3 linked regions of the Drosophila melanogaster genome follow. The protein of the gene in region 1 interacts with the protein of each later gene in a pairwise test. Each region holds a gene or a part of one and is shown in the gene's direction. Other genes may lie near its edges. The genes, in order: Ccn, Dus3 and CG5023.

Region 1 (3,756 bases):
AACATGGAGGAACTAGAGGGTAAGCCCGGCCGACATATTGAAATTCATAACTACATACAAAAACCAATTACAATATCAATTTAAAAGGGATTAAAATGGACCGGCCGGAGGCTTAAGCGGCTCCCAACGCCACTCGCCATCTAAGCTGCCGCTCCTGTTGGTCCTCCATGGTCAGAAGATGGCATATTTTGTGGCGTATTTAAGATTTGTTCCCTTCTAAAATTTGTGAAATTGCAAATTGTATTTGCCTGAGCCGTGACGAAACCCACAAACTTTTAAATTAAATTCTGAGCTAGCAGATTTTCATAATAAATAACGAGTCTTACACGAGTATAATCAGCCGTAATGCCATTGTGTAATGTAGAGATACACTGTATTCAACCAATACCGGGGCGGAACTTTCAACAAGTGGCGAATTCTTTGCGATTCGGTGTGTATTTTTGCATAATTTATTTACCCTGCTTGTTAAATCACAAATGCTGTACACAAAGAACCGCAATTTATGCGAGAGTATTGAAGTCTGTACACTGGACCAGGCCAAGATGCAATTTGGCTAAGTAAAGATGCCGATAAAGTGCAGTCGGATGGTGTGCAAATAGACTAAAAACATAAACTGCAGACGAGGCTAAGCAGCTCAAATGCATTAAATTTAAACGCTCGACTAAGCGGTTTAATTTGGAAAGTAGCAAAAAGCTTCGCCAATCTTTCATCGGACCAAGAATTCACTTCCTGTCCCTCCTCGACCACGTCCATTCATCGATTCGTCCATCCATCATGTCTATCAATGCCCGGGTCTTAGCCATGAGACAGATAAATCAGTTAAGCATCGTCATGTCAAGTTAACAGGCGATTACAAGGGCTTTACCTGACCAGATACGAAGCTTAAGACCATTGCGAGAGGTCAGCGAGGTTTAAGAGCATGTTTCAGTGAACCATTCGCCCTATTATCTATAATATGCAATAGTTCCTTGAACATAATGTTGGCCAATGAAAAAGTAAGCAGAAAAGAAGCAAAAATTTAAAAGTGGTATAGTCTCAATTAACTTAAGCACATATGTATTTGTAATCAAAAGCGAGGGCAATAAATCAAATAAGCTGGCGATTACAAAAGGCCGTCTGCATGCACCGATAGTTGATAAGCAATTGAGTGTGGGCGACGCAACAAGAGGATATCACGAAGGACACGAAGGATGGAAGCCTGCAGACCTCGGCTTGTTGATAAAAGAAATTAAACAGACAGCGCTGAAATAAAAGGGAAAACACAGAGGCAAAGAAGCATTAAGCCCACAAGACAATTGACAATGGGTGGGCCTGAAAATGGTTCAAGGATTCGAAGAGGGGTGTCCTTTTGGCAGGGGATCTGTGGCATTTGTCTCGACTGTCTCGTTGACATGACGTTGCGCGAATTGTGCGCCAGGATTGCTGTTGTGCGTTCTGTTGGCTGTGTTTTCGGTTTGCGAGTCGTCTGCCAACAAAGTGAGCAACACGCGCCGATGATTATGTTGCCGCTGACAACGACAACAACCACAGGAACAGCAGCAACACCTAAAGCAACAGCAATAACAGCAACACCAAAAGCAACATCAGCAACAGACTACTCCGAAAACGAGTGCCATTTTCGGAGTCCTGTTGGCGGCAAATGTCTTGTGGCACGAAGCTTTTCATTGACTAAAAGTGACGCATGCGCAGTTGGTCAGCCAACTTGGACTCCGATTTGAATTCAGTCCTCCGTCCTCAGTTTCAGTTCGTTTTTGTCACTCGTTCGTGCTGCACGGCACACGCGTCGTATGAGCGATATCACCTGGTCTTCTAAGACTGTTTTATTGGATTTTGGCGCAAGAAGGCAAAAAAGCCGGCTAAAGTGTCCCTCGTGGGTGTGTGTACGTGTGTTGCCGGAAATACTTTGAGCAATCGAAACGACAAAAGGCGAATAAAAAAAGATAGAAACCAAAACAAAAGTCTAAGCAAATTAACTTGGCCCATTCGTTGTATTGCGAGTATTGTTCTAGTGGTTATATTATGTTTGGGGTTTTTTGCCCAGCCCTCCTGCCAGCACGAAAGTAGGTTAATTGACGTGTGTTGCGGGCGTATCTACAAGGAAAATAATAAAAAAAAGTACCTAGAAGTAGAAAAACAAATACACGAGCAGCCAGTGAAGTGGTCAATTGCCACTGCCAGGGGTCTCTGAACCCCCTCGATAAATCAAAAGTGTGGGCAGAAAGTCCGGCTAATTTAAGGTATGTCAAATGGTATACTTATTGTTGAATATTTTATTATAATATTGCTAAAAATACAAGTTTAATCAACACTGACCGCAGTGTTAATGCGTTTATTTTGACGTTTGTGCCATTGGCTTCAAATAAATCTACATAATGTGGCAAAAATGGAGGTTCAATGCACTAGCAAATATCTATTGTTTTTAGTTGAACGAATTTTGTGCTGATTATTTGTTTCTACGTTGGACAATTTTAATTAGTTCGTGCATTGAGCAAGCATCGATTAATAGGTAATATATAACCCTAAAAAAATTTGAAGCACAAGTGTGGAAGTAATTTTAAACGAACGTCATTGTTTTATTGTTTTAAAAGCTACCATATTAAAGCGATAAGCTTCCAATTAAAAGTTAATGGGAGTGTTAAGTGTTAAATATTTGCATTAATGTGAGGCATTTAATTTTTTTTTTAGCCAAGTTTGTGGTGGTATGAGTAGAGTATGAGATAAATAGTTTCTTTTGTTATTATATTGCGGTAAATGATGTATTTCTCTTGATAAAAATAAAAATGCGGTATATTTTTTTAAATTACCCATCGAAAAAAAGTTTCGCATGCCAATGCGACAATTGACACTGCAGCAAACAGAAAAAAAGGACATAATACAAAGGGGAATAACATTGCGTAAACAAAAATAAACATATGCAAAATAAACTTCAAACAAATGTTGCCGCACCGAGTTTTGGGCCATCAAAACAAACAGAGAACACAAAAAAGGATAAAAACAGAACAAAAAAATTGAAACCGAAGTGAGCAACGCGGGGAAGTGGGTTCATGGTCGGTTGCGAATCGGTGCCTTAGAGGCAACTTTGTTGCACAAAATTTATTAATTTTTTTTTTCGCCAAGTGCGTGCTTGTGTGTGTGTGTGTGCGGTGTGTGTGTCAAATTTAAAAGCATTCTTTCCAGTTGCCTTTGGACGGGGGATGTCCTGGCAGCTGCCTTTTTGTTTTATTATTTTGCGGAAGCTGCGAACCAACATTTATAAAAAGGTTTTTCTTGCTCGTCCTGCTACGTGAGCCATGCACACACAAACACACCAACACACACACACACACAACATACATGCCCACACCCACAGACGCACATTGCTGTGCATTACCGTTATTTTATGACGGAAGTACATTTAAGCAGATTTTTTCTCACAGAACTCCCGCTCCCTTCAACCGAACTGGAAAAAAGGGCTGCCAAAAATGTACAAAAAAAAAAATTGGGAAACCGAGGAAATTTAAATATTTTCTTTTACGCTGTGCTTTTCATTTGCCAGTCTCGCTAAAATTTATGACCAACAAAATTGGAATATTCCCCAAAACAACAGTAGCAACAATAAAGCCAAGACAAAGTTCGCTTCGATGGCCGTAAAAAATAAGAAACCTTTACGAAGCGTTTCGATGAAAAATAACCATCCAGAATTTGAATCAAGTAAGAAAACATTGAAATACTCGATTAAATAAGCAACTTAATACTCAAAATATAGAAACAGATGAC
Region 2 (3,756 bases), on another chromosome or scaffold:
CGAATTCAATTCAAAGGATTCTACCCAAGGACTTACACTTTGTTCTATCGAATCTTACTCACTTACTGCAGTAACAAAGTTAGAAACAATTTTTAATTTCAGTTCTTGGTAAAGTTTTCAAATTGATTTCCGACAAAGAATTAAACACACAGGATGCTTTATAAGAAGTATTCTTCTTGTCTTACTGCCTTTCGTATTTTGTAGAAAAACTAATTTAAGAATAAGAAGTCAGTTTGCAGTACATTTCCGCTGCTACAAATTTAATTTAATTTCTTAAGCCGCTCACAAAACTATTTGCAATAACAACTAGGTAATTTTTGGACCCACCACCCCAACGCGCTGTCTTAGCTTCTCCTTGACCTGATCCTCGTCCGCCAGGAACTGCTTCTCAGCCAGCCGCACCAGGGTCCTCCTTAGCTGGGATTTCACTTGCGTGATCTTCGACGAGTTCATGGCCGATATGGGGACAATGCTGTCGAAATTGAGCACCTGTTTCGGACGCAGTTCCTCGGGGCACTGTTCAAGTCCGCTGGCCAAATCGCTGACGAGCGGCTTAACTTTGGTAAAGATCTCGTGGGCACCCTCCTTGTCCATTTTGTTCAGCAGCAGGACACTGGGCTTCTCCAGCAGCGATGGATCGTAGAGCTCCAACTCTTTGTTGAGCGCATACACATTGGCCAAGCAGTCGCGATGCGGATGTTTGGGACTCAGCTGGAAGCCGAATATATCCACCATGAAGACCAGCAGGCGGGTGCGTTCGATGTGCTTCAGGAACTTGTGACCCATGCCGAAGTTCGCGTGGGCGCCCTCGATCAGACCGGGAAGATCGGCAACTGTGATGGAGCGCAGGTCCCTGTACTCGATGGTTCCAATCTGGGGTCGGATGGTGGTAACTGAGGTAGGAGTTGTTAGTTAATGATTAAATACCAACTTGATCTAGCAATAACTCACAGGGATAAGCTGCAATTTTTGGTTTGGCATTGGACACGGCCTTAAGAAGGGTGCTTTTGCCAGCGTTGGGGAATCCCACGAGACCCACATCTGCTATTAGCTTTAGGTCCAGATTTACAGTGCGATTCTCCCCGGGACGTCCCAGAAAATTTGTGGCCGTGCATCCGCCAGTACCTCCGCCCGCCACAATGCATGTCGCCTCGTGCTCGTCGAGGTCGGCGATGAGTTTTTGTTGGTCGTCATATACCTGGACGCCCACAGGCACCTCGATCCTCTGGTCAGCTCCACGGCGTCCAAAGATGCTGGCTTTGCTACTGTCCTCGCCACTGGATGCTGCCACTCGCTTATCCTTCAATCCCTGGACGACCTTGCGAAGGGTGAGTCCTTCCTTTGCCACCAAGTAGACGCAACCGCCTTGGCCACCAACTCCTCCGTATTTGGGCAGTCCATTTCCACCATGTCCTCCACGAACCGCTAGGCGCAGTGTGTCCAGAAAAGTGGGCCGGAAGTGGGCACGACCGGTCTGGGCATTAAAACCTTTTGATATTACTTTTGATTTAGGTATAATAGTAATGTTCTCACAGATTTGCTGGATTTTAACAGGAATTTAAAGATTTGCACCATCGCGCAGGCGGCATTATACAATAGCGATGAGCAGACCTGCAAAAAGTGACTGATTCACTGTGACCACGGAGGGAAATAAATCGGTGTCATCTAATTTAGCTCGGGCAAAAACTTCTAAATTACCAATTTAAGGGTGGAGGAGACCTCATCATTGCCACGTAAGTCGTGGATTAATTTTAGTATTTATTAGTTAATAACCAGTGAAATCCATTCAATTCACAGTTATGCTGAACGCGACCAATATCTTTTCTTCTATCGATAAATCATCACAAGCAGCTGATTGACAAAAACAAGGTAGAAGAAGACGCATACCAACACGTGCGATTGTTTATTGTGAAATGGATTCCGGTATTTGCTACATCAAACCAGAGTAAGTAAGCTTAATGGCGAATATTTGGTTAATTCAATTCACTCTTTATACCTTTTAGATACCTGGTAACTGAAGCCGATGGCGGCAGTGCTGCAGCTAACACCGAAAACAGCGACACAAACAAAAGAAAACGCGAGGACGGTGGAGAAGTGGAAGCCGGTGAAAAAAAGAAATGGGATAAAAAGGAACGCAAACGCGGACAGAACAAGGTTCGTCAATAATATATAATATAGATACTATACAAAATATCGTATTTTTAGAACCGCCCAGTTTTCAAGGACGAGCGGTACTCGCATCTGTGCCACTCGCTGATCGATGGAACCGGTGGAGAACCTTGTTCCCTGGCCAACTGTCGCTATGTCCACGACCTGGACGCCTACTTGGCCGCCAAGGGAGAAGATTTGGGCCCTGAATGTTATGTGTACACCACCAAGGGCTACTGTGCCCGCGGTGTGAGTTGTCGCTTTGCAAAGGCCCACACTGATGAACAGGGCAGGAACCTCAAAAGGGAGGACTACGATGAAAATGCTCCTCCAACCACATGCAATGGCGTCAGTTCAGGTGGGCAATTCTTCTGCACCTATCAGCTAACTGATACTAAAGTACCTTGATAAACTCATTAATTGAACCCCTTTTCAGAACTCCAAGTGCGTCTACGAAAACATGAATATGACTTCAGTCGGAGCAAGGAGCTTATTAAAATGGCTGAAAAGCTGAGGGATGCCCGAAAACTAAAGGAACAACAGGAGAAGGAAAAGAATCCGTCTGAAGAGACTGGAGAAAAACAACCTAGTGAAACCACCGAGATATTAGATGCAGAAAAACAGACGGATACTAAGAGTAAACCAACTGCCACTGGTTGTGCAATTGATGATTCCGCTATCGGCAGAGATGCTGACCATAAGCCCGCCGTGGATTTCCGCGAGAAACTCGTGTTGTCGCCACTGACCACGTTGGGCAATTTGCCTTTCCGCCGGATCTGCAAGGAATTCGGTGCAGACATCACCTGTGGCGAGATGGCCTGCGCTCAGCCTCTCCTGAAGGGTATGGGCCAGGAGTGGGCCCTGACCAAGCGACACCAGAGCGAAGATGTCTTTGGAGTCCAGCTATGCGGAAATAATCCCAACATGCTCAACCAGGCGGCGCAGGTTATTCATGAGACGGCCCAGGTGGACTTCATTGATCTTAATATTGGCTGCCCGATAGATCTGATCTACCAGCAAGGCGGTGGCAGTGCGCTGATGCGACGAACCAATATCTTGGAGCTGACAGTGCGGAGTTGTGCAGCCCTGTCGGACCGCCTGCCCTTCACCGTGAAGATGCGCACCGGCATCTATGCAGACAAGAGCGTAGCGCACGAACTTCTTCCGCTTGTTGAAGAGTGGGGTGCCTCGGCGGTGACCCTGCACGGGCGATCCAGGGAGCAGCGCTACACTAAACACGCCAACTGGGCTTACATCGAGGAGTGTGCCGCCAAGGCAAAGTGCATGCCGGTGATCGGCAATGGCGACATACTCAGCTACGAGGATTACATGGAGCGAAGGACGCTGGCGCCTCACGTTTGCTCCGTAATGATTGGACGCGGCGCGTTAATAAAGCCCTGGATATTCCAAGAGATAAAGGAGAAACAGGCCTGGTCCCCATCGTCCGGGCAACGCTACGAGATGTTGCAAAAGTTCTGCAACTACGGACTGGAGCACTGGGGCTCAGACACCAAGGGCGTGGAGACCACTCGCCGATTCCTCCTCGAATGGCAGTCCTTCTTGTACCGATACATACCCGAGGCTTTGCAGACCGCACCGCCGCAAAAG
Region 3 (3,756 bases), on another chromosome or scaffold:
GAATATACAGTTCAAAAGCGCAAACATTGGTGGTTGAATAAGCAAAAAATAATATTTAGTGATTTATTGAAGGTTATCTTAAATTATAGTTGAATTGAAAACTTTTAATAATAAACATTAATTAATTTTGGTAATAAATATAACATTTGCATATTAAAGGTATTTATTTCATTATAAGAGCTCACTTGATAATATATTTTTTTACTGGAAGCCGTTTAAAATATTTCTGTGATGGATCAAACATTCAGTATTAAAACCTATTTGGTTTCAATCGATGCAAATAATTATTTATGAGCTATTGTTTTGGGTAAATTAATTTTTTCGAATATTTGCCTATTGTAATGAAAAGCAGGAATATTCTAGCTAGAGGCATTTCTGGTTTCCAGTTTGGAAAATGAGTGTAATTCGTTATTTTCCAAATTGGAGAGAGCATTTGCAGTTCGTATATCACATTTGCGATGGAGTGCGCCCACCCCCTCTCCGTGTTCACATAATTCCGATGCTTTTTACACAAAACGATTTCGATTGCCAGATCTTGGCAGCAAATGCTGAGACTTGGGGCCACTTTTTGTAGGTCGATGTTTTCGGCGGACTGACGCCCACGCCAATGCCTTCACTTTGACATAGACTCATCCACTCATAGACCCACAGATACAGCCCCAAATAAATAGATGTCCACAATCAGAATCGCACTCACACCAACACGCACGTTCTGTTCTGACACTGAGCTCCGAGTTGCTCAATTAATTTTGATTGCAGCCTTGGCAGCTGTTTTTGCTTTTACCCTAGGTGTTTTGTTTGTGCTGCCGCCCTCACACTTTTCATCGAGGACTTTCCACAGACATAGTTCATGGTTAAGTTCATTTGTCCATAAATTTTCATATTCGAGCATTTTGTTTTCGTTGTGTGTGAAATAAATAAATAAGAAAATTATTCATTCGCTTGGGTGAGAAAAATTCATTGAGCGTTTTTAGATGAAGCGTGAATATACCACAAGGCTGAGGTTTATCAAAGATTCTGCGATTCACTCGGTAATTGTAAAATTGTAAAATGCAATTAATTAAACCAAAGTGGATTTATGCTTTGAAGCGAATAATTTGCTAAGCTGAGCATTCATCACTTATGCTATGGAAGAATTTAAAAAAGAAAATCACAGATTTATGTGTGCCAGGTGTGAAAAGATATGCACATTCACGCCCTTTAAAATTTGTTTATGTTTATTTTGAGTAGATTTTATGGAGCACCTTGCCTGAAAACTTAAACTTGAACTTGGCCAAATGTCTGACTGGATAATTAAATTACTCTATCGCAGAGTGCAGCGAAATAAACAAATGAAAGCCTTTAAACTTTGTTGTGTTTGCTTTTAGCCAAATTATCTGGTGCTAAAACTTTGTCATATGGGAAAAAGTTTTAATGTAATTGCAAAATGATTTTAGTTTCACTAGATTTTCGGCTGAAATAAAAAAAATGAAATGGCTTTATTGAAAGTTTGGGAATATTTTTGAGAGTGATCCGCACTTATTGCCAGTGGGATTAGGTGGAGCCCACACAAATATGTATCTTTGGGATACAAGTATGCGCTTTTGACTAAGCATAATTGCTGGCAAATTGCTTGAAATTTGTTCTGCCAACCATGAAAGCGAAAGGGAAACGACTTCAATACCAGATATCTGGCACACTTCTGTCTGAGATAATTCTCAATCTTTTTTTTTATTTCCCTCCACTTTTCACGCGGTGACGTCACAAAGAGTTTCCGCCGGGCATCCGCGGTTTGCATCTAAATTTGCTTTTCCCGCTCCTTCCCTGCGTCACCATGGTTTTATTTCGGGCGATTTTGGCATCGGGCAAATCTATATCTGCCCGCTGACGTCGACGTCGACAGAAGCGGCAGCGGCAGCGGCATTAGCCTAACCTAAAATCGTTTTCAGCATTTTCGTAAATTATCTTAGGCCAAATGGAAAACTGTTTCAACAAACCTGCGTCAGTTGAAATTTGTGTCTCAAACGCGCCACACGCTAATTTGCATTTGCATTTCACTTTCAAATCTAATAATTCACAATGGCTGTAAGTTCCACAAGCTTCGTAAAGGATAATTAAGTGTCCTGGGTGTATTAAATTAAATCGAGCAAATTATTATTATAATTTGTATTATTGAGTATTTGATACATTTTGGATTTTTCTCTAAGAATGTCCGAGTATCAGGCTTAATTGAATTGCCAATTTCCTCATTTTGGATTTTTCGTTTCCGATTTCTCTTTCAAAGTGAAAAAAGCCTGAAAAAGGCTGCCTCACAAAAAAAAAAAAAATTGAGCTGATATAATTGTTTATGAAATAAAATTATTCAACCGTTGATAGTAGAAAAGTCACGTAGTTGTGAATATACCCATTCAATTAATATGCACACTCGTTCACAGAGAGGTATCAAATAAAACGAAACAAATAAGGAAATCAACAAATTAAAGTGAAGCGAAAAAAGTGCGAAGTAAATACAAAATACATTTTTGAAAAAGTGCCAAATATCAGCATATTCATTTGTATGAAAATGCTTATTAAAACAATATATTGCCCGTTGATTTATGCCTTTATATACATTTACGTACGTTTATAAGCAGTAATCAGCTCACACAAATGCATAAAGCAATCAGTGTTTGTATGTATTTATAATTAAATAAGCAATTAAAAGACAAAATATTTAATTGCAAACAGCGCGAGCGATTTAATTAAAAATTTCTTAAATTGGTTAAATATTTAAATAGTCAATTAACATTTGGCCCAGACATATATTGTGTGGATTATATACATATTATCCTACTTATTATCCTACATTGTATAACCAGATCCTGATGCCAGAGGCTCATGTAGAGTTTTCTGGCCAAGTGATTTCAGCTACGCCCACTCGCAGCAGCTGCCAGATCATAATTCATTCTCATATATCGCGTATTTGTGCTATTTATTTCCCCTATATATTAAAATAAAAAATCACTTAGTTGACAGTCTGGCCGGGGGATGACAAATGCCCTTGGGCCATTGGGCCATTGGGATGCCCGGTAGTTAACCAGCCATTAATTCCCATCGAATCGATGGAAAAGAGTGGCCTCCATTTGGTCGCAAATCACTCAGGACGCAGGACTTTACAATTCAATACAAACAAATTACGCATTTCATGCATCATTCGGTATTCGGCATTCCTTTTGCACTTTCGATTCATAATTAATTTGCGAATTTTCCGCTGTTGACATTTGTCTCTCAATAATGCTGACAAGTTTTTGCGACAGACAGTCAAAGCCACTGGGCCATAACTTTGTTCTTAATTGAACTTAATTATTTGCTGAATTATGCGGAGTGATGGCACAGATGCATAAAAAAACATTTGGCGACCGGTGTCTTTGGGGGCCATTGGATTTTTTTTTTGTTTCTTTGCTCTTTGACTGATTTTACTTTTTATAATTAATTCCCGCCGACCTGGTGACAGTTTGTGTTGCAAAAACTTTCAATTTATGAATACAAATTACGATGTGATACATTTTTTAGCAGCAGTGTGCATTTATTATGAATGTTCAGTATTTTTTTTTTTTTGAACGAACGCCATATGCTTATAATATATTTTTTAAGTCCCCTTTTCTGTGTAGTATAGTTATAATCATGACCTTTTTTGGTCACTCCGGACTATGACATATTTTAATTAATGCATATATATTTGCGGGTTTTGATTTATTGCATTTTTAAGGAAAAATTCTGTAATGATGACTTCATGCT

The links.
Region 2: the proteins of Ccn (region 1) and Dus3 interact in a two-hybrid assay, tested with the Drosophila melanogaster proteins (one large-scale study listed by BioGRID).
Region 3: the proteins of Ccn (region 1) and CG5023 interact in a two-hybrid assay, tested with the Drosophila melanogaster proteins (one large-scale study listed by BioGRID).

What each region holds. Positions count from the first base shown.
Region 1 is NT_037436.4:17,688,239-17,691,994, forward strand, and holds the start of Ccn (Ccn), read left to right. Parts: upstream 1-1,776; 5' UTR 1,777-2,237; intron 2,238-3,756.
Region 2 is NT_033779.5:19,756,999-19,760,754, forward strand, and holds the start of Dus3 (dihydrouridine synthase 3), read left to right. Parts: upstream 1-1,880; 5' UTR 1,881-1,913; coding exon 1,914-1,945; intron 1,946-2,003; coding exon 2,004-2,154; intron 2,155-2,205; coding exon 2,206-2,506; intron 2,507-2,584; coding exon 2,585-3,756. Other genes in the region: CG10628 (uncharacterized protein), read right to left, coding at 307-893, 952-1,474, 1,534-1,575.
Region 3 is NT_033777.3:20,167,457-20,171,212, forward strand, and holds the start of CG5023 (uncharacterized protein), read left to right. Parts: upstream 1-1,978; 5' UTR 1,979-2,058; coding exon 2,059-2,064; intron 2,065-3,756.